2 linked regions of the Xenopus tropicalis genome follow. The protein of the gene in region 1 purifies or fractionates together with the protein of each later gene. This does not show direct contact. Links are inferred from orthologs where the notes say so. Each region holds a gene or a part of one and is shown on either strand. Other genes may lie near its edges.

Evidence for each region.
Region 2: the proteins of cdc42bpb (region 1) and fam167a purify together in Homo sapiens (co-immunoprecipitation; 3 studies listed by BioGRID and IntAct, counting the BioPlex papers as one, with this or other methods). This does not show direct contact. The link is inferred for Xenopus tropicalis from reciprocal best matches to the Homo sapiens genes CDC42BPB and FAM167A.

The regions. Positions count from the first base shown.
Region 1 is NC_030684.2:97,957,580-97,973,244, forward strand, and holds the start of cdc42bpb (serine/threonine-protein kinase MRCK beta), read right to left. Parts: upstream 9,534-15,665; 5' UTR 9,035-9,533; coding exon 8,860-9,034; intron 1-8,859. UniProt on the Homo sapiens protein: Serine/threonine-protein kinase which is an important downstream effector of CDC42 and plays a role in the regulation of cytoskeleton reorganization and cell migration. Regulates actin cytoskeletal reorganization via phosphorylation of PPP1R12C and MYL9/MLC2.
Region 2 is NC_030681.2:150,803,269-150,818,923, forward strand, and holds the start of fam167a (protein FAM167A), read left to right. Parts: upstream 1-5,504; 5' UTR 5,505-5,823; intron 5,824-14,432; exon of another isoform or gene 14,433-14,537; intron 14,538-14,942; exon of another isoform or gene 14,943-15,058; intron 15,059-15,655.

The sequences.
Region 1 (15,665 bases):
AGTTTCCTACTTTCCATCAGCCAATGCTATTCAAATGCTTTTTGGTACTTTCCTCCTGAAAAAAACCTTACAGAAATAGAAGTGTAAACAAGAACTAAGCACAATTTTCCCATGTCAGTTTTATAACTAAAATATTAAATGTAGAAATAACCCAAATGTTCTCTTATAAAGGCAAATCGAACCTAAAACCAAAAAAGTATAGAATACTTTACATACAATACAATGCAATGCAATACAATGGTTGCACGAAAGATTGTTCCCACCCTCCACAGACGTTTAGGGCTGTGGCAGACGGAGAGACTAGTCGCTCGCGACAAATCTCCCTTGTCACGAGCGACTAGTCTCCCAAAATACCATCCCAGCGGTGAGTATGTAAATCGGCGGTGGCATGGCATACGTGGCGCCGCGGTTTCCCCAAAATTGCCTTGAGAGGAATCTCCTCGTGTGCCACAGCCCTTAGGGCTGAATCATCAGATATGGAGGTAGAAACAATAGAAATTTTACCTCCTTCTGCTGATTCAGATTTTGCTCAGGCGCCTTCAATGGCACCCGGCCAAAATCTTTTAACCTGGCCGATCGGTGAATTGACCAATATCCACAGCCTTTTGCAATATTGGTCGGCTTGTGGAGCCGCCATACATGCGCTGAATATTGTACGAAACGAGGTTTCATATGATATTATCGGTGCGTGTATGGCCAGCTTTAGGAAAATCATTTTTCATAGCTAAAAACTAGTTTCATTACATAATACAATTTAGAGAGATTATTAACACTCATAGTATAACCTAAATTGCTATGAAGTACTTTCCTCATCCTAATACATACAATGTGGACCTTGCCTGTGTGCCCTGTAAAACAATAGATGTCAAAGGTTTGCAGCCACTAAAGTGATTGTTTCCTTTTCCTGTTTAACCTACTTCCTGGGAAGTTACACCTTAACCCCTTAAGCTACATATACTTGAGAATTAACAGTCTTCGAGTTGAGAAGCTGAAGATACAGAGCACTGAAATTAGTTATTTTTTTGCAGAGTCTAAAGAGAGACTGCTGTTAGAAGAAGCACTTGCCCAAAATCCCACAGTTCAAAAGAACCAATCATTTAAGTCACACCAGCTGTCAACTACTTCGGCCTGTAACAAATCAAAATTTAATTACACACCAAAAGATATAACTATGCATCCCTTTAAGGATAATAAATGCAACAAGTATGCAAATAAACCCAATATTTTTTTTATTTGGACAAACTTTCCAACATATGAATTTCAAACTGTCAATAATTTTAACGTCAACAATGTCCAGTTGCCAAACTGCCTTGCACGTTCTTCCTTTATAGAAGGAAAATCAGAATTGTAGTCTTGGAAGGTAGGCGAGCTGACTACTACTAAATTATTGCAGTGGTACTTGTATTCAGGGCCAGCCATGGGAGAAATAGCAAAGGATACAAAGATCTTGCTTTCAAATGCAATCCATAAATTACGTTAGAATTATTGGAAATGTGTACTAAATGTACAAATAAATGCATAAAAATAATTTTATCATTCTACAGGTATGGGACCTATTATCCAAAATGCGTGGGGCCCTGGAATTGAGGCAGAGGTCTTTCTGTCATTTGGATCTCCAGACCATTAATTTAAACATTAAATAGACCCAACAGGATTATCTGGCCTCCAATAGGGATTCATTATATCTTAGTATGGATAGATAAAGTACAAGGTACGGTTATATTATTACAGAGAAATAGGAAATAATTTGAAATCAATTTTTTTTTTAAATGAAGTCTATTGGAGATGGCCTTTTCGTAATTTGAAGCTTTCTGGATAAAGGGATAAGAAGACAGATCCCACACCTGTACTAAGAGCCTCCGATATGTTATATTACAAGAAAATAAACTTTGCATTACAATACAAAACAAATATTAACTTGCAATACAGTTACTGTGTATTGCAAACCCTAGGAAAACAGAAATCTATGCAAAGAATAAATCCTAGTGAGCCATTTGACTATTAGATCACAGAGAATGGGATTATTTTCAATTAAACCCTATATTTAATTGCAAATTTTACAAAGACAACATATCAGATGACAAAATGTTGTTTTTTTACAAAATATTTCCTTGTTTTGACTTTGATGCCAGCAACGCATTCCAAAAAACATATTTACATTTTACAATGTTCCAACTTTTTGGTAAGCAGGACTGTATAAACCTGTTTAAAAACAAAAAGGTAGCCATAATCTATACACTATAAATATATACATTTATACTAAAATATGGTGTGTCATGGCAGCAGAAATAAAAATGTATTGAAAGCTCCACTAGAACAGGAACTGGTATGAATATCTAAACATAGTTACATAGATTATGAGGCTGAAAAAGACATATCCAGTTAGATGCCAAGGTTATATAAATGAATAATATACATGTTCTGCAAAATGCTGAAATGTTTTTATTTAATGTTCAGATGAATGTGCTAGGGATCCACAGTGGAGACTAAGACAACTACTGAAGTACAACATAACATTTTGTTCAGTAGCGCAAATGCTGAATGACAGTAATGTTCTGCCTTACGAAAATGCATTCATCATAGAAAAAAGTTAACTGCCTTCAGCATTAACACGTGGGAATTTCAGCGCAATAATTTTCAGGCACCAAGTAGAACAGTTTCTGAAAGGGACATTGTGATATGTAGTAAAGGATACAGACATTGGTATGACTTTGCCCTAGGAAATGACTGAGCATACTGAGCCCATTTACCTTATTAAATATTAAACCTATTCCGATTGTATCCACTTTCCACCTTGTGCTAAAAGGACCCCACTCACTGCTTTTTACTTTAGAGGGTTTTGGAGAATAAAAAGCAGCAATTTATTCACACTTAGGTTAGCAGGCTACCATTCAAACCATTGCTAAAGTTAATGACAACTTTGCATCACAACAATAAAAATTAATCGAAATAAATAGAAAATGAGATCAAGTGCCAAATGTACCACAATACCACTATCTACATTGGTGGATTCAAAAATGTGGGGCTGGCCTCCAAAGATGGCCCCAGCCTGGGTTAGTCCAAGAAAGTCTTGTAACTTTGGCTGTATTACTAATGTTTTTCTCTGTTTATATATTCATATATTGGTATGAGCTCAAGGGAGCCCTGAACAAATGCTGGACTTTAAAAGTGGTACTTAAAACAAAAACTCATACCAAAAGTTCAATTTATGGTGAGCTGACCAATAAAGGCTAAAGCCACATGTGGCAGATTCTCAGCTCGCGTTTACCCACGACTGTATCGGCCCCAGGTGCAGACACTCAGCACTTACACTCAGGCCAAGAATCTGCTAAATGTGGAATTAGCCAAAGAGGACTGTCATCACAAAATAGACACAGTTAAGAAGTGAATTAAAAAGAACCTTGCTGCCTCTCTCAAAACAGATGCAGTCAATCTAAACTATTTCTGTCACCAGCACCATTATGGATTATCCACAGATAACTACTTTCTTAACATGACCCTGCTGTAGGTATAGAAAACCCCTGCCAAAATACTAGCTGAGACCACCAGCTCTTTTAGGTTAACCCTAATTTCTGTCACCAATATGCCAAGCCCATACAATCTTTGAGGGTTTCTTACATCATTACAGCTACCCATTACACACCTATATTCATTAAATTTATAGTGCTCTGGAATCCATTTTTTAACAATTGGTCCCAGAAGGAAAGGTAGGCTAATGCTTGTTTCAGATACCATTTCAATTTGCTCTGGGGTATACACATGAAAACTCAGATATTACAGTGTCACAGCGTACTCCAAATCTAAGGGACAATTATACCACACCGATTGTCCCTAAAAAGGACAGGAATACATGGATAAGACATCACATAATTTCATGGTCTTCTATTGATCAGTTGTTGAAAGAAAAAACATAGCAATAACATACATTTTATTAACAAGTTAAGCAAAAGAAGTGTTCATATAACCAGCCACACACCCACAGGCAATAAGTTTATGGCTAAGACTTTTTGGGAATAACGGCTTCAGTCACAGTCTGAACAATGCCCCTAGAAGGCTATGTTATAAACACTGAAACACAGAATTTGACAAGAGATACAGACCAGTTGGCCAGTCAACCTAAATGTTTCTAAATGCAACTAACATATATATACGGTGTACAGACACTAAAGGCTTTGGAAACATATGTATAAAAGCACAAACTGCACTTAAGAAATTAAATTTATTTTAAAAATTTGCTGTTTTTGGCAAAGCTTTTCTCCTAACAAGTGGCTGGTACCCAAAGGGTTAAATCACCTATGCAGAAGTATGCTTTTAAAACCTTTCAGAAGCCTTCTGCATAGTGTGCCGTCTAGGTGAGTGCTGGAAGAATGAATAACCATCCTCAAGCACAAAGTCAATGCTTTCATATAGGTATGTTGCCCTTCTCAGCAATATAACAGGGAAACAATACATTCAATAAGTTATACCACCAAGATGTTTTTACAATATTCCCTGCTGCAAGTATACTAGCAAGAACATGGTACTGGAAAAGGCTGGGCCTGACAGTATTAGGATAAAGGGCACTAGGCTCTTAAAACCTTTTTTTTCCCTTAAAAACAGCTTATTTGAAAAAAATTAACTCAATTGTGAAAAAGCTCAAAGACTCATTTTATGTACTCAGATAAACTTCAGTCACACTTTACTGCTGAGCTGCAAGGAGTCGATCAGCAGAACAATGGGAAGGTAGCAGCTCCCAGTAGATATCAGAATAGCACTCAAAAGTAAGAAATCAAAGTCCGGCTTGGGGGAGTAGGAGAAACAATAGGTTACCTGAAAGCAGTTCTAATGTGTAGCGCTGGCTCCTTCTGAAAGCTCAAACTCAGGCACAATGTGCTGAGATGGCTGCCTACACACCAATATTACAACTAAAAAAAATATACATTTGTTGTTCAAGAATACAATTTTAAATGGTAGAGTGAATTATTCGCTTTGCAAACATTGTAATTTAGAAATAAAAAGTACACCAAAATATCATGACAGTATCCCTTTAACTTGGACTCAAGAGTGCAAAGTACAGGCAGACCTCCATCACTGTTCAAGGCCTTTAAAAGAACTCATGAATCCAGATTGCATTACCTGCTCAACCTAAAAAAGGTTTTGTCATCCATAAACCCAATAAATTATTTGCAGTTTTAAATTCCTATTAGAGTTCTTCTTCCTTCCCTTCGTTTCCTAATTGGCATAGCTAAACTAGCAAAGGGTACTCCTAAGGAAGGTGCCATACCCAACACTATTTTACTCTACAGTCAATTGTGACTCCTTTTGGTTGGCTCATCGCATAGCAACTATACAGATACCAATCCTCTATGTTACATTTTGGGGCAGATTTATCAAAATATGAAATTAGAGCTCACCACAGTAAAATTCACTCACTTTCTATTCATTTCTATGGGATTTTAAAAAGGGTATTTATCAAATGGTAAGTTCTAACTTTCACTCATTGATAAACATGCTTCTAAAATCCTGTAGGAATAAAAAGAACATGGGTAAATCTGCCCCTTAGGCCCACGACATACAGAAGCTCTGTTCATTTTCACTGCAAATGTGGCATTCAAATTCTGCATATTTCTTTCTATTTGAATACAGTGAAAATGTCAATCCACCTTATTTTCAGCCAAAATTGTTGTAGAGAACAGGGGAGTGTATTTGCATTTTCACAAAATAATTCAGGACCCAATGGGGGTGGGGAAAGACTTATTGCAATTTTTGCACATTTTTTGATAAATATGTGGCAAGCAATACTCTCATAGGAGCAGACTGGCACTACAAGATTATATCACACACAAGTGTCCGAAAACATGCAAGGATCATGAAAAATAATATTTTGAAATTTGCCCACACGGAAATCAGCAGCCTTCTTTGTTGGCATAATAGTCTTTACACAATGGAACTAGCATGTTTACTTCACTGTGTGATCACACACCGTAGCATCTGTAGTTCAGCAACACCATTTTAAAAAAGTCTGTATTTCTGGTTTTTTAGCTTGTTTACATACATTACCCAACATGTTTTATGTTGATAACCATCTTAACAAAGAACATATGCCTACAGGGTATATTTTTTTTGCAAACTACATGCAGGTACAACTGGTTGTAGGGACCACATTACCGATACAAAGTTGACTTTCAACAAAGTCTCTTAAATTTGATACTGCTTTTAAAAGGAAACAACTTTAAATAAGGAAAGGGTCATTACTGCAACATTAAAAACTTTTAAATATATTTACATTTAATGGCTGCTTCATTAATACTAATAAACAGACTAGGTCCCCATTTCTCTGTGGGGATGCACTTGCAGGCTCCTCAAATGGAATTTGTAGGCCAAATAGGGTAAGATATGGAGTGAATGCTTAGTTTCTGTCTGTGACACTTCTGTAACATGATGATTGTAAAGACAATTTGGAATATACTTTCAGCTTCCTATGAGCTAATCTGTCATCTTGAGCTTCCAGAGCTATAACATCACAAGTTTGGATTCTGTTCCGCTAAGCAATAAGAATTCAGTCAAACTTGAATCCTGCAAAGCACTTTGTGATTTGGACAAATCCCTCCAAAAATTCTGGATTTGGTGCTTTAAAAGAGACCTATAACATAAAACAGAATATTAACAGAAATGTTGTATTTTACTGAACTGAGTGTCCCAGCTCATAGGTTCATCAGCTCAGTAACCAGGCCTTCGAAGTTGTCCGCAGGAACTCCCCATCTTTGATTTTGTTAGAACATAGCATTATACTGCTAAATAACATTAATGTATTTAGGAGGTAGGTTTAATCTTTAGATTTGAGTAGTTTTATGCATATCAGATAAAGGTCTCAGCAGTCAGCTTCTTGCAGTCATGGCTTATTCTTAGCCATATAAACAGGAAGTAAAAATTTCCTGCTTTCAGCTTGTTTTTGAGAAGGATTCCTACAGAGTTTGCCACATGTAGCATCCACATCGATCAGGCTCCAAATGTTTATTCAATTACTATTAAAAATTCACATTCAGTTTGGTCTTCAAAAAGGAAAATACATTAATAAGTCATCCTGCTTTTGGCCTGGATATATTTTCCATTCTATCAGTAAGTTGAGGATAAGTTTTTTTTTTTTATCTGTATTGCACAGCTCAAACTAAATTATGCAGGCTCATGTAGTGGCTATAGATCTATATATCTATATATATATATCTATATATCTATATATATATTATACACGCACACACATACAAATATGCAAAGTATCTGGAATCACAGGTTTGAAGTTCATTACTTTAGCTCATATAGAAATGCAGTGGAGTGGACAAGTTGCTCTTTCTGTCCTCTGTATTGCTTTTGTATATAATGAACGTCAAAACCTTTAGAGAAGATCATATATTTAGAGTTTGCGCTGCTTGATCTAGCAGGAAAAAGCTGGAGAATCACTTCTGTATAGCAAGTAGTGTGCAGCAGTTTCCAGCACAGTGCATTAAAATGTAAGGCTCATAGACTGGAGCAGCTGTGGGGAGCATGACTGGATACCACAACTGATGCTGTTTGCAACTCACATGCATTCCACAAGGATGTTCTCTAGAACTGGGATGGGCAGGAAGAGGAAGAAGACTGGTTCATGTGATCCTTTAAGACTACAGCAAAGACATACCTGAGATCATTTTAACTTTATCAGAAGTCTTCTAAATATTATTTGTGCCCAAAGCCTGTTCTACATAAACATTAGGCGCTTCTGAATTTAGTGGTATTTTATAATCAGCAGCAACAACATTTCTTTCAATTGTCTTACACTGCCATCAAATGTATAAATATTAGCCTACTGGATTAAAAAACATACAAATTCAGAGCAATCATTCAATTGAAAAACCTTTACCTGTCCAGATGGCACCACCAATGGAGAAGTTATCCAACACACCACTGACTTAATATTTTAACCTGATCTGGTCCATGGCAGTTTACTTTTGCTTGATTTATATCAGAGGTATTCCCTGTCAATGCTCACATTAATACCCCCCCCAACACATCCTGACATAACTGAGAGAAGAAAAGCTCAGACTTATCTCCTCTCCCAAGACAGCAGCACAGATACATATGTACATCACCCTGATTACAGGCACTCTACATGCAGGATTTAAAACCAATAATCTCATTAACAGATACAAACTGGTGTGTTCCTCCATGTGTTCCTTATGTGGAGACTCGTGTTTACAATGGTTTAAGTCACTGACGGTAAAAAGAAACACAATTTCCCAATTTCTAAACTTGGGAGGAGGGTCTGTCACATGTTGTTCAGTAAGACTATAAACCCCAACTTTTATATGCAGAATATTAGTTGTTGACTGGTTTGCCAAATGGTTAGCAGCAAATGGATTAAAGTGCCAGGCTGATAAGTGGAAGCTAAAGCCTTGGTTTTATAAACAATAACAGAGTTAAAGGGAGATGCCCAGCCTTTGGCCCTCCAGCTGTTGCTGAATGACAAAAGCCTGCAACCCCTCCTCCCTGGTAAAGAACTGCTGGGGGTGTTGTTGAACACAATCTGGGGACAGATAACTGTTTATCTAAACCCACACACTAGCATAGCGAGCCACCACTGAAGATCCTGGGATACACTGCAACCAAGCTAATTTGCCAAATAGATATTCCATGGAGGCCTGAATACTACTACATCCATGTATAAACTGTTTGCATGCACTTGGTCACCTTTATACCAAAGTCTGCACGGCCAAATAATCCTATAGTCAATGCTGTGGAAGTCAGAATGTGTGTGCATGGGTTGTGCAACATTACAGTGCCCGGATCCCTTTGCCCAGTGCCCGGATCCCTTTGCCCAGTGCCCATGGTGATGCCCACACTCACCCCATTCCAGGAACTCGCTGACATACTTGTCCCTGCGGAGGGTGGAATGGCTGCACTCGGTATACAGGCAGAGAAGCACATCCAGCAAGGTCTCCACACTCAGGGCCGCCTCGTTCCTCTGGGGCCCATCCAGGAGCAGCTGCTCCAGCTTCTTCAGCCTCACTTTGGCCGACATCTTCCCGTGGCTCAGCGAGCAGCCTAGCTAAACTAAGCAGGTTATGATAGTGAATGGCGTTGCACTGCTGCCAATAGAAATGGCAATTTGTAGGGTGGCTCCCCGCACCCTGAGGACACACTAAGGCGTTCTTCCCCCCGGCTGCTCGCTAGGACCTATCCAGACATGGCAAAGGCTCCACAAGACACTATGCAGCTCCAAGGCCCGCTTGGTCCATGAACAGGGGACGAGCCCCCCACCCAGTCCGGCTGTGCAGTATCCCTCTCCCCTCAGTTACAAGTTAGTTAGCCGCTTGCTGCTGCTTTACAGCGTAACCGGCGGAGATCATGGCCGCCCCCACTCCCTGTATTCTTCAATGCTCCTCCTTTTCTTCTCCTCTTTGGCTCGGGATCACGGAGCAGAACCGGGAGACGAAGCCCTTCCCACCGGAAAGGGAAGGAATGTCCCGACTGACGTCAGAACAATGTTGGAAGAGCCCTCTTCCGGCCAGGAGGCAGCACTGCATATCCATAGGGAATAAAGACTTTCACTGGAGTACGGGCAGCAGATGGGACAAACTTCATCTTCTCATACACACCCGAAGGCATTGTAGTATTTGTGCCAGATGGAAAATGGGATCAGTCAGGCAGTGACAGGCAGTGATAACATTCCTATTTAATCTATAGCTGCGCGGAATATGGGGCATCATACATGTCGCATAGGAACAATCAGGACCCGCTGTTTTCATCATTCTACCTTTTTTGCCGCCTTGTTACATACTAAAGCATTTCATAATTTGTATCATCTACCTTCTACCTTGGTGCAAATTACCAGCATTGATTCTAGGCCAAGGAGCATGAAACCTGAGAATAAAATCCATGACAGTGGGAATCATTCGTTGTTTTAAGGGGAACTAAACCAACTTTATTAATGCTGTGCTGATTTGTTACTTTGCCTCTACTTCATGTAGAAATCTCAAGTCACTAAGGGGCACATTTACTAACCCACGAACGGGCCGAATGCGTCCGATTGCGTTTTTTTCGTAATGATCGGTAATTTTGCGTAAAAACGCGAGTTTTTCGGTGTCTTTACGTTTTTTGCGTAAAAACGCGAGTTTTTCGTAGCCATTACGAAAGTTGCGCAAAGTCGCGATTTTTTTTTGTAGCGTTAAAACTTGCGTGAAACGTTGCGCCTTTTAAGTTTTAACGCTACGAAAAAGGCGCGACTTTGCGCGCAAGTGTTAACGCTACGAAAAAATCGCGACTTTGCGCAACTTTCGTAATGGCTACGAAAAACTCGCGTTCTAACGCAAAAATCGTAAAGACGCCGAAAAAATCACAAAAAAATACGAAAAAGTCGCAAAATGTTCGTTTCCAATCGGAATTTTTCCAATTCGGATTCGAAATCGTGTCTTAGTAAATCAGCCCCTAAGACTGAGACAACCACCCTAAATTAATAGGCTGTAGGAACAAAAGACAGGAAAAACCACTAATAAATGAAAATAAAAGGTGTAGATAATTCATATATACACTAGAAATTAACATTTTTATAATGTTCCCATGCAAGCAGAGAAAATATTTCTAGAATTAAACATGTTTTTCTGATTGTGCAGACATTATGTCCATGCTATATACACAACTTACAGTTTTGAAAGAAAAAAAAATCTGTCTTTCAGTTGCTGCCTGTTCTGACATATTTACAGTTGGGCAGAAACACAGCAAAATCTACCTAGAGCTAAGAGCCCTATATTAGGCCATTAAATTGTGCATAAAAGCTTATGGAAATATGCCAGTATTTGCAAGTGCTTGAACAGCTAAAATTATTTTTTTATTGACAGAGCCAGCTTTTTTGGTATTTCTGCTGCCCCACTTTGTAGTTTTTCATTTTCTCATTTAGATTTTGTAGGGTACCAGTCTTTTACAAGGTTCTCACATTCCATGTTGCTGTTTACATATTCATTCTGCTGTCCACAGTGCACCATAGAGACAGGTTTTTTTCTGGCCATAGGTTAGATGGAGCTTTTCTTTGTTTAGCTTTGCTTTAGCAACCGGTCTTCTAATGCATCTTTGCATAACCACTCCCTATCTTCTTAGGCCACAGATCTGTTGTAAGCAGGTCCAGACTGGGACTGATAATAGGCCCTGACAATTAAAGTACACAAAGGCCAAAACAGACCCCCCCCCCCCCCCAGCTCAATATATAGTGTCTGTTTCTGTCATCTTACAGCAGCTCCTCTGGCATTTGCCAGAATGTACAGTTTGCCAGTCCAGGCCTGGTTATTAGCCTTTGTGGCCACAGCTTTGTCTGAAGATTCCCTTCACTTCTCTCAACTCTACATAAAGCCCACAACTGATTGTATTTCTTTTCTGTTTAGCTCTGCATTTTGATTTCAGCTCTCAATACAGTTATTATCTGCCAAAAAATTGCTAAAACACACCCTATTACTCCTTTTACCCATATCTATGCAGTCAGCACCCCCAAAAACATTTCTGCTTTTTTGTCTTCATCCCTCCACTAACTTTATATCATGCAGAATATTTTTTTGCCATTCCTACACATTCAACACATCCTTAGTAATTCTCTTGCATATGTAGGTCAAAGATAATGTGCATCTTTATGTCTTGATCTGCAAGACAAACTGCCTGGAAATGGCACATATTTTTTGTGTGCTATATAATTTTATTGCAGTCACATACAAGTGTTGCCATGGGTTTGTAAAAAGCAGATTTAAATAGATCAAAGACAATGAGATGTATCTTATGGACAACAAAATAACATAAGAATAGAGTTACCTTTAGGCAATATACTTGCATAATTCAATGAACAGAAGGAGTAATGGAAGGGTAGAGTCTTCCCCAGAGGGAGGAAAAATATGCCAAGGGTTTCTCCCCATCTGCTGAACTAATGGCTGGGAAGTCATAGATTGTTTGCATGCTTTAGGATTTAAGATTATTAAAGGATGGGACAGAGGTTATATGGATGTATAGAATCACAATGATAGATTATGGAAACTTTAAAATCAGATTATGCTTTTATATAAAGAATATAACATTGAAACCTATTTTTTATTCCTGTTAAAAAACAAAACAAAAAAAAACAAAGTGAGAGACATCTGTGCACCTCAAAGAATTATTAATGTGGCTACTATGGCTGTTATTACTTTGCAGCAATGACAATTATGAAAGCAGTTTCACCAATTTTCTGCATGTGCAACATCATCTTGGTGGTGATACAACCATGTCACTATGCACACAAACAAATATCTTCCTTGTAATTAACTCTGTCAGATCTTAATTCCAGGTATGTGCAAACTTCATCAGTGCATAATTAATCATTTTAAATCCGTAAGAAAATGTGTATTCTGGGTGGTTGTGTGACACTGCAGTACAAAACTAAATGCTTACCTGCAAATTGAAAGGACAGTCATAGGTTTACATTCTCCTCAAGGCATGACACACATGTAAAAACACAATCCCTGATTAGACAAATAAAATTAATGGTTTGCTGTGGTGTAAAATATAAATGCCTATTATTAACTTGGAATTATAAGTGCAATTATGGTATAATTTGAATCAAGGCACACAACACGATGTAAAAGTATTTTATAAAAATGGCTTTGGCCCATTCTGTTTAAGAAGTCAGTTGGAGACTGATCATTGTTCTCTTTTAATATAAAAACAACAGTCCGTCTATGTAGGGATATAAGTAAAATACCTGCAAAGATAAAAAGCCATTGATCCAGACAGATAAGCAGAAGAGGGAGGTTAATAATTTAAACCTATGAAAATTAAAGACCAATTTGATAATAATAGGCCATTCTGTATCTTACTAAAAGTTAACTTTAAGATGAACTACCCCTTTAGGTGAAGGCACACAGGGTGATTAATCGCCACAACTTTTTAAAAAGTCAGTCAGAGTAATTGCGATGACTTAACCGACGTAGGTTTCTATATAAGTCGCTGCTATTTGTTTTTAATTCGTTTTTTTAAAAAGCCGCGGCTACTAATCACTGCATGTGTCTTCACCATTAAGTTGAATTAGATAACAGATAAGGAAAAATTAGAGTCTTTATGTACAGAAACAAAGTATGTTCTTACCACTGATCTTTTGATAAATCAGCCAGGAAAGGGAGTTCTAGGAAAGGATGTGAGAGAATAAGAACATGTATTTATGGCTTTACTAGTGTGCTGTAATGCTTTTGGCTCTATGTCCACTTATCAGTGCTAGCCAGATAGTCAGGGTCAAGCAGTCTGCACCTTCGTGCAGGCATTCCTGGTCAATGGCATTCAATTACTAATACATAGGGAAAATTACAAATTTAAATTAAATATAGTTGAGTCAATAGAAAATAGCATTCCACTTACTGACTCATCTGCTTCAGCTCGTAGCATCTGGCTAGATTTGCATTCTTTTTAGACAGATTTGTAAACAAGCCAATTACCATAAGTGGTTACTCATATTAGAAATGTGATTCAGTCATTTCTCTATCGTGCTCATCTAGTCCTCTAATGCAAGTTATAAGGCTTAGATTCATTACAAGGAGACCAGTTATATGCACTACATACTGATATTCTCAGAATGGGTCATTATGGGCCCTCTGTGATAACCACTGCCTAATATTACAGCACATCTGTATACATCATACATTAGGGTGGGCAGTGCCTCAGATGATGATCTTGTATGGGATTACCTGATCTGTGGAAGCAGGGGTGGCCACTTTATTGTGGGTGGCTTGTTGTTAAGAGCTATTGTATGGTAAAGACATAAAGTATGTTTATTTATATTATTATTATTATTAACATTTATTTATAAACATATTCCGCAGCGCTGTATAATAAGTGGGTTTCATACATTGGACATACAGAGTAACATATAAAGCAATCATTAACCGATACAAGAGGTGAAGAGAGCCCTGCCCAAAAGAGCTTACAATCTACAAGGAGGAAGGGTTGAGACACAAGGTGTGGGAATGGGCAAGACCAGAGTTGTGAGAGGTGTGGCACAGGGTAATGCTTTTAGCAGCACACTGAGGTTATGTTAATCTAGATTAGGGTAAACTTCTCTAAATAAATGTGTTTTTAGAGATTTCTTGAAGGCAGAGAGATTGGGAGAAAGTCTGACAGTTTGTGGGAGCGAATTCCAGAGAAGGGGGAAAGCCCTTGCAAAGTCTTGAAAGCAAGCATGTGAGGAAGGAATGAGAGAGGAGTTGAGGAGCAGGTCAGTTGAGGAGCAGGTCAGTAGAGGAGCGTAACAAGCAGGTTGGATGGTACCTAGAGATGTAGGGTGGGGCAGAGTTATGAACTGCTTTGAATGTGAGAGTCATTAGTTTGAATTTTATCCTGGATGGTAGGGGAAGCCAGTGCAGGGATTGGCAGAGTGGCACGGCAGAGGAGGAGTGGTTGGAGAGGTGTATGAGCCGGGCAGTAGTATTCATTATGGACTGGAGTGGGGACAGACTTTGGAGGGGAAGGCCAATTAATAGGGAGTTACAGTAGTCCAGGCGAGATATAATGAGAGAATGAATCAGAATTTTGGCAGCATCTTGGGTGATAAATGATCGTATTTTGGAAATATTTCTTAGGTGAAAGTGACATGATTTGATAAGTGACTGGATATGAGGAGTGAAGGACAGGGCAGAATCAAGGATAACCCCAAGGCACCGGGCCTGGGAAGATGGGGTGATGGTAGAATTGTTAACCTTTATAGATACCTCGGAAACAATGTGGGCATTGGATGGGGGAAAGAGAACCAATTCAGTCTTAGAGAGGTTTAATTTAAGGTAACGTTGGGACATCCAAGTAGAGATAGCAGACAGGCAGGAAGAGACACGAGTTAGAAGCTCTGGGTTGAGATTAGGAGAGGAAAGATAGATCTGAGTATTATCAGCATAGAGGTGGTACTGAAAGCCAAAAGAATTGATTAATTTGCCAAGTGAGGAGGTATAGAGAGAAAATAGTAAGGGACCCAGGACAGAGCCTTGAGGAACCCCAACAGAAAGAGGCAAGGGAGAAGACGATTCACCATTGTAAGAGACACTGAAGGATCGATCTGAGAGATAAGATGAAAACCAGGATAAGGCAGTGTCACGAAGGCCAAGAGAGCAGAGAGACTGGAGGAGAAAAAGGTGATCCACAGTGTCAAAAGCAGCCAAGAGATCGAGAAGTATTAGTAGGCTTTGACTTTAGCCGATAGGAGGTCATTTGTTAGTCGGGTTAGAGCAGTTTCGGTGGAGTGTTGTCTAAAACCAGGAGGTTATTGTCAGAGAGGAATAGCGTCAGTTGGTTGTAAACTAGGCGTTTGAGCAGTATGGAGATGAATGGGAGCAGAGAGATAGGTCGAAGGTTACTAGGATTGGAGGGATCAAGGGAAGGTTTTTTCAGAATAGGGGTTACAAGTGCAAGCTTCCAGGGCCGGCCTTACCAACTGCGGGGCCCAATTGGAACCATTTTTGCGGAGCCTCCTTAGTACATTGTGAATTATGCTTAGTGCAGAGGATTCCCTATGTTGCCATAGTTTTATAGTTTTTTAGGCTGTTCCTTCTGAATTGTGCTTAATACAGGCACAACTCCCAACATTTTAAAAATGTAAATAGGAACAAAAACCTTTGCCGTGCGTAGCGCGACAAAATTTTTTTTTTCCATGCCCATGGAAA
Region 2 (15,655 bases), on another chromosome or scaffold:
AGCTCTTTTGGGCAGGGCTCCCTTCCCCTCCTGTATCGGTTATTGATTGCTTTATATGTTACTCCTTGTAGAGTGTAAGCTCTTTTGGGCAGGGCTCTCTTCCCCTCCTGTATCGGTTACTGATTGCTTTATATGTTACTCCTTGTAGAGTGTAAGCTCTTTTGGGCAGGGCTCTCTTCCCCTCCTGTATCGGTTACTGATTGCTTTATATGTTACTCCTTGTAGAGTGTAAGCTCTTTTGGGCAGGGCTCTCTTCCCCTCTTGTATCGGTTACTGATTGCTTTATATGTTACTCCTTGTAGAGTGTAAGCTCTTTTGGGCAGGGCTCCCTTCCCCTCCTGTATCGGTTATTGGTTGCTTTATATGTTACTCCTTGTAGAGTGTAAGCTCTTTTGGGCAGGGCTCTCTTCCCCTCTTGTATCGGTTATTGATTGCTTTATATCAGGGGTGTCAAACTCAATCACATAAGGGGGCCAAATTTTTTATTAATATACTTAGTAAGATACTAAGGGGTATATTTATCACAATGTGTAAAAACTGGAGTAAGACATTACCGGTGATGTTGCTCATAGCAGCCAATAGATGCTTTGCTACTGTTGAAATCTGATTACTGATTGGATGCCTTGGGCAACATTACTGGTAATGCTTCACTCCACTTTTTACACAGCATGATAAATATACCCCTTAGTCTTAGTTACTATGTGAGGAGAATGGAAATTGATCAGGCTGGATGGTCAGACTCACTCACCAAGGGCCCTCTTTTAACAGCTCAGCCCGCAGTCCCGGATTCTTACTGAAAAGTCCCTCATTTCCCTTTGATCTCCTGCACTGAAGCTAAAAAAGATACAAATTTAATTAAAAGTAGCTTTTGGCAGAGAGCCCAGAAATCTTAACCAGCATCACTTGCACTTAGATACAGTGTTTCTCACATTTAATTAAATAAGTAGCATTTAGCAGAGCCCAGAAAGGTAAAAAGCCCCCCCTGCACTGAGATACAATTGTAACTAATAAGCTAAACAGGTCTCTTGGGGGAACGGAGACTCACAGCTTAAAGGGCAACTTTACCTTCATTAGCAAAACTGTAATAACACATAAAACAGGACCCCGAAACCCCCACAAATGTGTTCAAACTATAAATAACCTGCCAAATTTAGTCAAATGGGAGTGGTAATTAGGAGGTGTAGCCTCAAAAATGGGCGTGGTCAAAAAATTCACCGCGCAGCATTTATTTTTGTCCCTCTTTCTGTTTTCAAAATGTTGGGAGGTATGCAAACAATCTGTTGGGAGTGGGAGCCCCCCTTGGTTGAACCCAGAAACATATTGTATATTCCATTCTGCTGTTTTCAGAAAATCTTTTATTTCTGTGAATTATTACTATAGATCAGGGAATAGTATAGTCTCCAACAGTGAATTCATTTCCCCAGGCAGTACCTGTATCCAGCCATTAGGTGGCGCCCTTGTAAACCTGATCAAGAGACAGCATTAAAAACACAACACATTTTGAATAAACCCAGAAGACGCTGAAAAATGAGTGTGAAAATATTCCCAGCTCAAAGTACAGAGGGTACAAAGGCGGCATCGATCCCTGAGCTATTTGCACCCAGTGAGAAAGCTAACAGAGCGGGGTGTGGGGCGGCCGCACAGCAGCTATTAACAGACCAGTCACATAAATAATGAATAGGGACAATATCCTGCTTTATCTTTTTGTTCAAAAAATTCCTTTACAGCCCCGGAGGCAGCTATTCAGATCCCTGCAGCAAAAACGGATAAGCTCTTTGGGCAACAATATAAAAGCCGTGATTAATTGCCCCAAAGCAATATCCAAAGGTCCCGGCTGCACCTACACCAGCGCCCATCAGTATTATACAAACTGACAGGCATATTTAATAACTGAATGTACATCAAACCTATAAGTGCTACTGTCACTTTAAGAGGTTAAAGGGCAGGTCACACCTTCAAGTGAAAATAGTTTATTTACAGTTGTAGATCTGTTTGTCAGGCTCCTCCGGATAAAGTATTTCCCGGCAGCAACAGTTCTGGTTTATATGGGAGAATGTTTCACCCTGTATAAACGTGGCCCCTGTTTATCTCTGCGTAAAGGGGAACTCTACCCAAATATTGTATTTTGTATAAGGGAGAATGGAACTCTCAGCAACGTCCCAATATCCATTCATTGCACATTTTCACTGGTTTAAAGGTCTTTGGATGCTAAATAAGCAGTCAGTGTGCCGCACTGTACCCCCCCCCCCCATCCCTGGGGGCCCGTGGCCCCTCTCTAGTGCATCGCTATGGGCACTAACTGCCTATTAAACACACACACGCTCTCTAAGTGCTGTATAAGTGGTTACAGGGAGCGGTAAGGGTCATGAAGATTCAACTCAATTTCTGCATTATTTATAACCAAATATTTCTTTACTTTGCCTTTTTATTTGCTTCCTTTTTCCCTAATCTTCTTAAAGGGCCAGGGACATTTTCCTGAAGGTGATGGTACAATGTACAGTTCCTGGGGCTGAGAAGTGATCATTACAGCCATAACCAAGTTCAAAGGGAGTGAAATGTTCCTGCAATTAAGGCAATCATGATTAATTAGGGACAGTTCCATGTCACAGATAAGTATCACTTTTCTCATGGGGCGAATGGGTGGGAACTTTCTCTATAAGAGCCATGGGAAATGCTGCATCGCTGCTCGGTCACTATAGATTGCGACTCAGTAGCAAAAGTGGCTCCGGTTACTCCCTACATTTCAGGGTCTCAATGTTTAAAGCGGCGGTTACTTTGATATACTTTCATTTTTTTTTGGTGTTACTGTTCCTTTAACTTTTAGAATGCACAGAATGGCCAATTGTAAGCCACGTTTCAACTGAAGTTCATTATTATGAGTTATTTTTATATTTAGGTCCTCTCCTATTATAAATATAATCAGTCTCTCAGTTAAAATTCAAATTCAAATTTTATTTGTCACATACACAGTCATACAATTATGATATGCAGTGAAATGCTTAGACGACTACTATTAATGACCTCAAATTAGAATAATATAGAATATAAGAAGTTAAGAATAAAAAGAATAAAAAGAGTTAAACCACTCTCGGGTTGCTAAGGTAATTAGTACCCTAGCAACCAGATAGCTGCTGCAATTCCAAACTGGAGAGTTGCTGAATAAACTTGAAGTAATTAAAAAAAAAACAAAAATAATAAAAATGAAGACCAATTGCAAATTGTCTCTGTTCGTATGATAATGGGGAATGTATCCATGTACCCCGGGGCAATTGATTTTTGCCTAATTGAAAAAGTATGATGTAGAGAGTAATATTTTGAAACAATTTGCAATTGGTCTTCATTTTATATTATTTGTAGTTTATAGTTATTTCATTTTCAGTTCAGGAGCTCTCTACTTTGGAGTTTTGGCAGTTATTTGGTTGCTAGGGTCCAAGTTACCTTAGCAACAAGGGAGTGACTTAGATAAATAGGGGAATAGAAAAGAACGCTACAAAAAGTAACAATAACAATAAAGCTGGAGCCTCACAGAGCAATCGTTTTTGGCTGCCGGGGTCAGTGACCCCCATTTGGAAAACTCCAAAGAGTTGGAAGAAGAAGGCAAAATAATTCAAAAACTATAACAAATAAATAATGAAGACCAATCTAAAAGTTGCTTAGAATTGACCATTCTATAACATAGCTCTGCATTCAGGATCTGCCCAAGGCCCTAACAGTGAGTTCTTGTTAGAAACATAACGTCTCTCCTCGTGTTCCTCACTCAGGAATAAAACCCCATGATTATCATACATATTAATATATTGACTCTCTTGTGACTCCACCTATTAACCCCTCAATCTCCCCTTCCAACGAGGGGCAGGATGTGTGTGAGGCTCCCAGGACAGGACAGTGAGAGAGACATTAGGAGGCAGATGAGTAGGTCACAGTGGGGCCGGGGCTTATTATAGTCCTTACTGGAATATATGTATGTGCTACAGGGCAGAGTATTGCCCAGCGGGCACCTTATGATAATGCCTGCTCCAGGGCAGATAAACACTCCTAGCCAGGGAGGGCAGAATAACAATTTGCTCTGAGGAGTCCAAGTAACCACCCTGTTGTTTGTATTGGAAGTGGCGTCTGTTCCAAAATAGTCTGTATTGCTCAGTTGCCTTATGTAGAAATACTCTGCTGAGCTTCCTATATATATATATGGCAACAGTTATCAAATATTTGTGATTCAAAGGCTTTAGTGATCCAGCAATGGCCAGCCTCCCCAAAGCTATATAGAAACATTGGGGTAACAGTCACCCTGCTATAGTTCCAAGGGTACCCAGGGCACAAATAAGCACTCACCCCAAATCCCCCCTAACTGGCCTTCAGGCTGGGCCCCCTTAGCCCATAACAAGGTTACAGATATATAGAAACATTGGGGTAACAGTCACCCTGCTATAGTTCCAGGGGTACCCAGGGCACAAATAAGCACTCACCCCAAATCCCCCCTAACTGGCCTTCAGGCTGGGCCCCCTTAGCCCATAACAAGGTTACAGATATATAGAAACATTGGGGTAACAGTCACCCTGCTATAGTTCCAGGGGTACCCAGGGCACAAATAAGCACTCACCCCAAATCCCCCCTAACTGGCCTTCAGGCTGGGCCCCCTTAGCCCATAACAAGGTTACAGATATATAGAAACATTGGGGTAACAGTCACCCTGTTATAGTTCCAGGGGTACCCAGGGCACAAATAAGCACTCACCCCAAATCCCCCCCCTAACTGGCCTTCAGGCTGGGCCCCCTTAGCCCATAACAAGGTTACAGATATATAGAAACATTGGGGTAACAGTCACCCTGTTATAGTTCCAGGGGTACCCAGGGCACAAATAAGCACTCACCCCAAATCCCCCCCTAACTGGCCTTCAGGCTGGGCCCCCTTAGCCCATAACAAGGTTACAGATATATAGAAACATTGGGGTAACAGTCACCCTGTTATAGTTCCAGGGGTACCCAGGGCACAAATAAGCACTCACCCCAAATCCCCCCTAACTGGCCTTCAGGCTGGGCCCCCTTAGCCCATAACAAGGTTACAGATATATAGAAACATTGGGGTAACAGTCACCCTGTTATAGTTCCAGGGGTACCCAGGGCACAAATAAGCACTCACCCCAAATCCCCCCCTAACTGGCCTTCAGGATGGGCCCCCTTAGCCCATAACAAGGTTACAGATATATAGAAACATTGGGGTAACAGTCACCCCGCTATAGTTCCAGGGGTACCCAGGGCACAAATAAGCACTCACCCCAATTCCCCCCCTAACTGGCCTTCAGGCTGGGCCCCCTTAGCCCATAACAAGGTTACAGATATATAGAAACATTGGGGTAACAGTCACCCCAAATCTCCCCCTATATATATATATATATATATATATATATATATACATTGCATCAATGACAGATAGAGAGCAGGAGGCTGTAGGACCCAGGGGCTCCGGGCTGAGTGGGGCTGAGGAGCAATGCTGTGCCCATAGCAGAGGCTGAATGAATAGGGGAGATGGGGAGAGAAAGGGAGATGTTGGGATGGAATTGCTATGCTGTTTCCTGGCAACTCTCCTGACGCAACAAAAAAGTCGTTACATAAAAGAGGGGGGAAAGCAAATTCTGGGAAGAGACAGAGAATCCCGAGGCACAGGGAGAGAATGCAGATGCGGCCGGCCATAATAACCTGCAGCCTGGAAGGGATCTGCAGCATCTTGTGAATAGAAACCTACAGGAGGCAGAGGGAGGAGAGCCTGAAGCGGCTGGATGTGCCCAATGCAATACAAACCCTGATGCCTTTGCGCCTCTCACACTGGGTAAGTGCCATGGGGCTGCGGCGTGGTGCCCCAGTGAGGGTAATTGTGGGTCATTGTGCCTTGGTAATTTATTAAGGGCACAAATGTATATATATATTTTTTTTTTTATTTAGTCTACATTTTGTATTTCCAGACTGGGGGTAATAGTGGTGCATCTATCTGCATTATTCTCTGTATGTTACACCTGAGCCCATGTTATAGCCCTGCCGCAGCCGCTCTGTCCTGATTTATAACAGGCTCGGCCAACCCGGAGCCACCCAACTGTTGATATGGAACTTCCAGTATCCCCCCCCCCGAATGTACCACTGTTGGGCCTTGGGGGGTGCTGGGTATTGTAGCTGAGCCTCAGTTGGAAACCCCTGGTTTAGAAGAACAGATGTTCCAACTGGGAATCTCATTGGCCCGTCTGCCCTGAAATATTCATGCAGTAATATTCCATAGGGATTATAGGGATTTGTAACCTTAGTGTGTTTCCTATTGAGCCCTGGAAATTCAATTAGCCTATCTCTGTCCAACTCTTGCCATGCTGTGGGCCAGTTAGCAGTCAGATGACATGATCATGGGAATAAATAAATATCAGTAGTTATGGCTCCCTATACTACTACGTTAGCAGGGCCCTTCCTTCAGGAGGCCCCAATTATTAGCCCACTGGTAACCTGGGCCCTCTAGGTGGTGAATTCTGCCAACAAGTAAAATGGGGTCACAATGGGAAAAAAGTCCCTTGCATGATCCCCCTAAGTAACTCCCAAATAATGCCCAAACTCCTCCCATAATCTATAAGCCCCTCCCTCCACTCTCCCCAAAAGCTCTGTTGCTTTTGCTACCTGGGAATCTAGCTTTTCCACAGGGTGGGTACGGGTGGGGGGTGGTTCCATGGGTGCTGGATGTTATATTTTCAACAAATGACTTGTGATGAGTGCCGGTGGGGATCGGGTCGGGGCAAGCAAGGCCAACAAGGGTTTTTTTCTGGTGCCCCATCGACCCAGTCTGACTCTGAACTCAAGGGCAGTAAGTCGGTCAAAATTTACATTCTGCTGAGACATCTTATCTCACTGTCACCTTCTAGTCCTGACTGCCAGCTGCTCTTTCTCTCTATAGGGATCCACTGTGTCCCTGATTGAACCCCCTGCACGTTCTGCAATGTCTGTCCCACTAAGAGTTCTAACACATTTGGCCCAGGATACCCATCAAGTATGGAGGGGGCAATTTGTAAAGTCATGTGATGTACACAAGGGGAACCCATCCGTCACATATACTGTATATATCTGTATACTCCCCCTGTGCCGTATGGTTTCCCACACTCACACAGCTTCATGGGATGGCACGGACCCCAGGGCAGGGAGGGAATCTCAGCAATAAGCTGCGTGCCATCTTGGTGCCATATTAATGAAGGATGATTATGAACATAATAATTATACAGTAATAACGCTAGATTACTTTATTGGCTATGAATTTATTAAATATGCAATTTACTGTATATTATAATTCCTATTAGACAGAAGCCTGGTGTGTTCCTTATGGGCCCAGTCCCCTCCCCTCTCTGCAGCCGCAGGGTCTGCTTCCTCTCTGTTACTCCTCTGTGGTTTCTTTTATTTTGCAAACACTGTTTACTAACTAGGAAAGGGCTACAATAATCTCTATTTATTCACATCATCTGCTGCACTCACACTGTATTAATTGCCAGACACAACAACTCAATGTCAGATTAAAGGGCAATTTTCCCACTTTTGGCAAGACTGCTCCTATGGGAGTAAACCATTTAGATTGCACAGGGCAGTGATCCCCAACCAGTAGTTTGGGGGCAACATGTTGCTCCCCAACCCCTTGGATGTTGCTCTCAGTGCCCCCAAACCAGGGAGTTATTTTTGAATTCCTGACTTGGGGGCAAGTTTTGGTTGAATAAAAACAAGATTTCCTACCAAATAAAGCCCCTGTAAGCTGATAGGGTGCATAGAGGCCCCTAATAGCCAATCACAGCCCTTATTTGGCTCCTCCATGAACTTTTATGGTGCTTGTGTTGCTCCCCAAATCTTTTTATATTTGACTGTGGCTCACGAGTAAGAAAGGTTGGGGACCCCTGGCACAGGGTAATAACAGTGCGGTGACGTTATTATCTCAGATGTCCAAGATGGGTTTCCCTGCCCTGGCCTATATAGGATAGTGGCAGCACAATGGGATCTATAGGACTTGATTTATTTTTAAATAGACACTTACAGACAATACGGCGAATTAACTGGATGTAAAAGTCACCCTCAAACAAGTCATCATTAGGGGTGGTCCAAGCAGAGATGGTGGGAGGGAGAGATGGTGCCTATAGTAGCAGTGGGGGGATAATAGCCTCTGGGAAGGGACTGGGGCTGTGGGATAGCAGGTATAGTAGGGAGAGATGGTGCCTATAGTAGCAGTGGGGGGATAATAGCCTCTGGGAAGGGACTGGGGCTGTGGGATAGCAGGTATAGTAGGGAGAGATGGTGCCTATAGTAGCAGTGGGATAATAGCCTCTGGGAAGGGACTGGGGCTGTGGGATAGCAGGTATAGTAGGGAGAGATGGTGCCTATAGTAGCAGTGGGGGGATAATAGCCTCTGGGAAGGGACTGGGGCTGTGGGATAGCAGGTATAGTAGGGAGAGATGGTACCTATAGTAGCAGTGGGGGGATAATAGCCTCTGGGAAGGGACTGGGGCTGTGGGATAGCAGGTATAGTAGGGAGAGATGGTACCTATAGTAGCAGTGGGGGGATAATAGCCTCTGGGAAGGGACTGGGGCTGTGGGATAGCAGGTATAGTAGGGAGAGATGGTGCCTATAGTAGCAGTGGGATAATAGCCTCTGGGAAGGGACTGGGGCTGTGGGATAGCAGGTATAGTAGGGAGAGATGGTGCCTATAGTAGCAGTGGGGGGATAATAGCCTCTGGGAAGGGACTGGGGCTGTGGGATAGCAGGTATAGTAGGGAGAGATGGTGCCCTATAGTAGCAGTGGGGGGATAATAGCCTCTGGGAAGGGACTGGGGCTGTGGGATAGCAGGTATAGCAGGGGGAGATGGTGCCTATAGTAGCAGTGGGGGGGATAATAGCCTCTGGGAAGGGACTGGGGCTGTGGGATAGCAGGTATAGTAGGGAGAGATGGTGCCTATAGTAGCAGTGGGGGGATAATAGCCTCTGGGAAGGGACTGGGGCTGTGGGATAGCAGGTATAGTAGGGAGAGATGGTGCCTATAGTAGCAGTGGGGGGGATAATAGCCTCTGGGAAGGGACTGGGGCTGTGGGATAGCAGGTATAGTAGGGAGAGATGGTGCCTATAGTATCAGGGGGGGGATAATAGCCTCTGGGAAGGGACTGGGGCTGTGGGATAGCAGGTATAGTAGGGAGAGATGGTGCCTATAGTAGCAGTGGGATAATAGCCTCTGGGAAGGAACTGGGGCTGTGGGATAGCAGGTATAGTAGGGAGAGATGGTGCCTATAGTAGCAGTGGGATAATAGCCTCTGGGAAGGGACTGGGGCTGTGGGATAGCAGGTATAGTAGGGAGAGATGGTGCCTATAGTAGCAGTGGGGGGGATAATAGCCTCTGGGAAGGGACTGGGGCTGTGGGATAGCAGGTATAGTAGGGAGAGATGGTGCCTATAGTAGCAGTGGGGGGATAATAGCCTCTGGGAAGGGACTGGGGCTGTGGGATAGCAGGTATAGTAGGGAGAGATGGTGCCTATAGTAGCAGTGGGGGATAATAGCCTCTGGGAAGGGACTGGGGCTGTGGGATAGCAGGTATAGTAGGGAGAGATGGTGCCTATAGTAGCAGTGGGGGGATAATAGCCTCTGGGAAGGGACTGGGGCTGTGGGATAGCAGGTATAGTAGGGAGAGATGGTGCCTATAGTAGCAGTGGGGGGATAATAGCCTCTGGGAAGGGACTGGGGCTGTGGGATAGCAGGTATAGTAGGGAGAGATGGTGCCTATAGTAGCAGTGGGGGGATAATAGCCTCTGGGAAGGGACTGGGGCTGTGGGATAGCAGGTATAGTAGGGAGAGATGGTGCCTATAGTAGCAGTGGGGGGATAATAGCCTCTGGGAAGGGACTGGGGCTGTGGGATAGCAGGTATAGTAGGGAGAGATGGTGCCTATAGTAGCAGTGGGGGGATAATAGCCTCTGGGAAGGGACTGGGGCTGTGGGATAGCAGGTATAGTAGGGAGAGATGGTGCCTATAGTAGCAGTGGGGGGATAATAGCCTCTGGGAAGGGACTGGGGCTGTGGGATAGCAGGTATAGTAGGGAGAGATGGTGCCTATAGTAGCAGTGGGATAATAGCCTCTGGGAAGGGACTGGGGCTGTGGGATAGCAGGTATAGTAGGGAGAGATGGTGCCTATAGTAGCAGTGGGGGGATAATAGCCTCTGGGAAGGGACTGGGGCTGTGGGATAGCAGGTATAGTAGGGAGAGATGGTGCCTATAGTAGCAGTGGGATAATAGCCTCTGGGAAGGGACTGGGGCTGTGGGATAGCAGGTATAGTAGGGAGAGATGGTGCCTATAGTAGCAGTGGGGGGATAATAGCCTCTGGGAAGGGACTGGGGCTGTGGGATAGCAGGTATAGTAGGGAGAGATGGTGCCTATAGTAGCAGTGGGGGGATAATAGCCTCTGGGAAGATGGTTACCCATAAGTAATAAGTCATTACCAATAACAACCCTAGCCACATAGGAGGTTTGGGGGTTAAAGAAGGTTTAATAAGGATTTCTGCAACTAGTAGTTTGTCTCTAGAAAAGATAACAAGCCTGGCCAGAGCGCCTTGGGCTTTAGCAACTAAGGTGCGATAAGAACTACTGCGGATTTGGACTTAAGTTGTAAACACAATGTAACATGGCTACTGAGCATTAAGAGACACAGATCCATCAGTCACTATCCCTTTTACTCCCATAATTACTATTTAGCTGGTAAATGATCTAGAGCAAGGCAACAATTAGGTGCCATTGTCAATCTGCCTCTGAGGGGAAACACATTCCTTACAGATTCCATATTCAGCAGTTTGACTTCCCCTGCCTGACCCACATTTCTTTTACCATCTTCTGCTACAAAGACATCCATTCCGTCACATTTCTCCTCTCTAAGCTGTATATGAACAAATAAGCACATTGGCTAGCTGTCCATCCAATTAACAAGAGGCATTAATGGGGTTTAAGAATGCAATGTAATTACAATTGCAACATTCTTCAGGTCTAGTAACCCATAGCAACCAATCAGCAGGTAGCATTGACTGCACCTGTTATTACGTTATCCCCTTATACCTTTCCCCCTATACCATAAACTAGTTGTATATATATATATATATATAGAGTATATATATATAGCAGTATCTCTATGTAATTGGTACAGGCATTGTGCAAGTTGCCTTCCATCAGTTACGCCTATAACAATAGGTGCAGATTAGGCGCGGCCCCCTTGTATCAATACTTTGTACCTTTCCCCGAGCGGCTTGGACATGGTTTTATTTGATGTAAAACAAGAACTTCCATTTGTATCGACTTGTTAAATCAATAAATCTCTTCCCTCCCTGCTGCCAATGCATAAATGATAATCATCTGTGGGAGGATAAGGTGTAACCAATGGGTCTTTCATCTGAAGCTGGATGGTGCCATTGTTACATTAGTCTTGTAGCTATACAATGGGTATTAGCATTCTCCAGGTCTGTACTAATCTTGTTACCCATACCCCATATAATCCCCCCTCCCCAGATGCCCCCTCACCTCTTAATATTGCTCTGCAGACCTAGGGGTCACCTCACCTCCATTCTAGACTAGAAATTGTGATATGGTGAGTCCCATAGTCAGGCACATTTATCACTTATTTTATTGTTCTACAGAATAAGGTTAGGATTCCTGCACAGTGGGGAGCTAGCCAAAATATCAACTGGCACTAAGATAGAAGTGTTATTGGCAAAGAGCAGTTCACTCTTGGCCTAGTGCTGATACACAGGCAGCTGCCCCTAACTGGCCTTCAGGCTGGGCCCCCTTAGCCCATAACAAGGTTACAGATATATAGAAACATTGGGGTAACAGTCACCCTGCTATAGTTCCAGGGGTACCCAGGGCACAAATAAGCACTCACCCCAAATCCCCCCTAACTGGCCTTCAGGCTGGGCCCCCTTAGCCCATAACAAGGTTACAGATATATAGAAACATTGGGGTAACAGTCACCCTGCTATAGTTCCAGGGGTACCCAGGGCACAAATAAGCACTCACCCCAAATCCCCCCCTAACTGGCCTTCAGGCTGGGCCCCCTTAGCCCATAACAAGGTTACAGATATATAGAAACATTGGGGTAACAGTCACCCTGCTATAGTTCCAGGGGTACCCAGGGCACAAATAAGCACTCACCCCAAATCCCCCCTAACTGGCCTTCAGGCTGGGCCCCCTTAGCCCATAACAAGGTTACAGATATATAGAAACATTGGGGTAACAGTCACCCTGCTACAGTTCCAGGGGTACCCAGGGCACAAATAAGCACTCACCCCAAATCCCCCCCTAACTGGCCTTCAGGCTGGGCCCCCTTAGCCCATAACAAGGTTACAGATATATAGAAACATTGGGGTAACAGTCACCCTGCTACAGTTCCAGGGGTACCCAGGGCACAAATAAGCACTCACCCCAAATCCCCCCTAACTGGCCTTCAGGCTGGGCCCCCTTAGCCCATAACAAGGTTACAGATATATAGAAACATTGGGGTAACAGTCACCCTGCTATAGTTCCAGGGGTACCCAGGGCACAAATAAGCACTCACCCCAAATCCCCCCCTAACTGGCCTTCAGGCTGGGCCCCCTTAGCCCATAACAAGGTTACAGATATATAGAAACATTGGGGTAACAGTCACCCTGCTATAGTTCCAGGGGTACCCAGGGCACAAATAAGCACTCACCCCAAATCCCCCCCTAACTGGCCTTCAGGCTGGGCCCCCTTAGCCCATAACAAGGTTACAGATATATAGAAACATTGGGGTAACAGTCACCCTGCTATAGTTCCAGGGGTACCCAGGGCACAAATAAGCACTCACCCAAATCCCCCCTAACTGGCCTTCAGGCTGGGCCCCCTTAGCCATAACAAGGTTACAGATATATAGAAACATTGGGGTAACAGTCACCCTGCTATAGTTCCAGGGGTACCCAGGGCACAAATAAGCACTCACCCCAAATCCCCCCCTAACTGGCCTTCAGGCTGGGCCCCCTTAGCCCATAACAAGGTTACAGATATATAGAAACATTGGGGTAACAGTCACCCTGCTATAGTTCCAGGGGTACCCAGGGCACAAATAAGCACTCACCCCAAATCCCCCCTAACTGGCCTTCAGGCTGGGCCCCCTTAGCCCATAACAAGGTTACAGATATATAGAAACATTGGGGTAACAGTCACCCTGCTATAGTTCCAGGGGTACCCAGGGCACAAATAAGCACTCACCCCAAATCCCCCCCTAACTGGCCTTCAGGCTGGGCCCCCTTAGCCCATAACAAGGTTACAGATATATAGAAACATTGGGGTAACAGTCACCCTGCTATAGTTCCAGGGGTACCCAGGGCACAAATAAGCACTCACCCCAAATCCCCCCTAACTGGCCTTCAGGCTGGGCCCCCTTAGCCCATAACAAGGTTACAGATATATAGAAACATTGGGGTAACAGTCACCCTGCTATAGTTCCAGGGGTACCCAGGGCACAAATAAGCACTCACCCCAAATCCCCCCCTAACTGGCCTTCAGGCTGGGCCCCCTTAGCCCATAACAAGGTTACAGATATATAGAAACATTGGGGTAACAGTCACCCTGCTATAGTTCCAGGGGTACCCAGGGCACAAATAAGCACTCACCCCAAATCCCCCCCTAACTGGCCTTCAGGCTGGGCCCCCTTAGCCCATAACAAGGTTACAGATATATAGAAACATTGGGGTAACAGTCACCCTGCTATAGTTCCAGGGGTACCCAGGGCACAAATAAGCACTCACCCCAAATCCCCCCTAACTGGCCTTCAGGCTGGGCCCCCTTAGCCCATAACAAGGTTACAGATATATAGAAACATTGGGGTAACAGTCACCCTGCTATAGTTCCAGGGGTACCAGGGCACAAATAAGCACTCACCCCAAATCCCCCCCTAACTGGCCTTCAGGCTGGGCCCCCATAGCCCATAACAAGGTTACAGATATATAGAAACATTGGGGTAACAGTCACCCCGCTATAGTTCCAGGGGTACCCAGGGCACAAATAAGCACTCACCCCAAATCCCCCCTAACTGGCCTTCAGGCTGGGCCCCCTTAGCCCATAACAAGGTTACAGATATATAGAAACATTGGGGTAACAGCCATATAACTGCAGTCATATTGGGTCACACCATGTAAAGAAGCAGTGTAGTTGTAACTGCCCAGACAACTAGGGGCCCTGCTTAGCACACTATGCATTGACAGGAACCAGGGGCTGTTTTGGGGGTGGGGGGCACCTGTCTGGGTGCTATAGACACTTCCTTTGTATCTGTTGCTCTGTCTCGGTACTGAGGGCCCCACACATCTCTAGGTTCCATTCTGCTCTCCATTCAGATGCCCAGCTTTGTGCAAGTCATTCACAGCTACAGAAAGGCAATTAATGGGCTTATTTACTCAGGAGTGGGAGTGGTAGAATGGGAGGATGTGCCAGAAGCATAAAGACAGCAGCAGACTCTGCCTTGGCTATGAATCGGCTCGGAGGTATCACTGCGAGAGGTGAGCCCGGATTCCTTCTACTCTCATAATTTCACTTTCTATTCTTTCTATTTATCTACTTTTTATCTCTGCGGAACTTTAACCCCTATGGCTGCCCTGTCATATTCTGCTTTCCAATTCCCTGTAACAGGACATTCACTCACTGGGCAGTAGAATAACATAATCAGCCAGCTGCGGGCAATGCTACAATACACTGACTTCTGCTACATTGCTGCAGGAGTCAGAACCACAGGACAGAAGGGGACAATTGCAATTACAATGTAAAAATGACTTCAAAACCACTGGAATGTGGAAAATTGCTTAAAACTGTATTTTCTTTCTTAATGGAAAAAAGTTTTTGGATAAAGTTCCAGTTTAAGTTATGCATCTGTGCCCAAGTCACCCCTTGTGACTGAGGTGCTGGGGGCACTTATTTTGTAAAGAAAACATGACCTACTGTATCCTGCTTCCAAGGTACCAGTGGTAATGGGCCGTGTCACATTAATCAGACTGGGCACTGGGAAGAAGCATATGCCAAGCGGGTAACGTTGTATGAATGAACCTGTCACCTGGGTGAGAAAATATTCTCCCACACTTGGCACAATGTTATGCTCAGAGTTTGGGTTGATTTCAGTCGGAGCTGTGCCTTTGCCTGTGTGAGTGCGGCACAATCAGTTTGGGTCTTGGGAGATCTTCTTGGTTTTGGCACCAATGCTGATCTGCAAAGTTAGTTCAACCGCCCAATGGTTCGGTGCTTGCCCTGGGCCACTGGCATGGAAAGGATTAGTGGATATAATGGACTGAATTAGTATCTGGCCATCGGATATCTTTAGCAGTGGGCATTGAGCTTGGTCATCAGTGGGTAACTTACCTTGGCAACACTGGGCTCACCTTGTCTCCCCTTATTGCACATGTTCCGGGCATATATGACTTTGCAATGCTACGTATGCTGTTTAGCTGAGCACACATGGTGGCCACGTATAAAGTTGATAGATCTTTGCCCCTTTGTCCCACTCAAAGCTGTGGGTGAAATCTCGCTGATTGGATCTTGTAGACCTTGGGTCAATGCTCTAAACCCCACACTCCTTCCATTGCCCAATGTTCTGCCTGGGGGCTTATCTGTCCACGTCTGCCTGTAT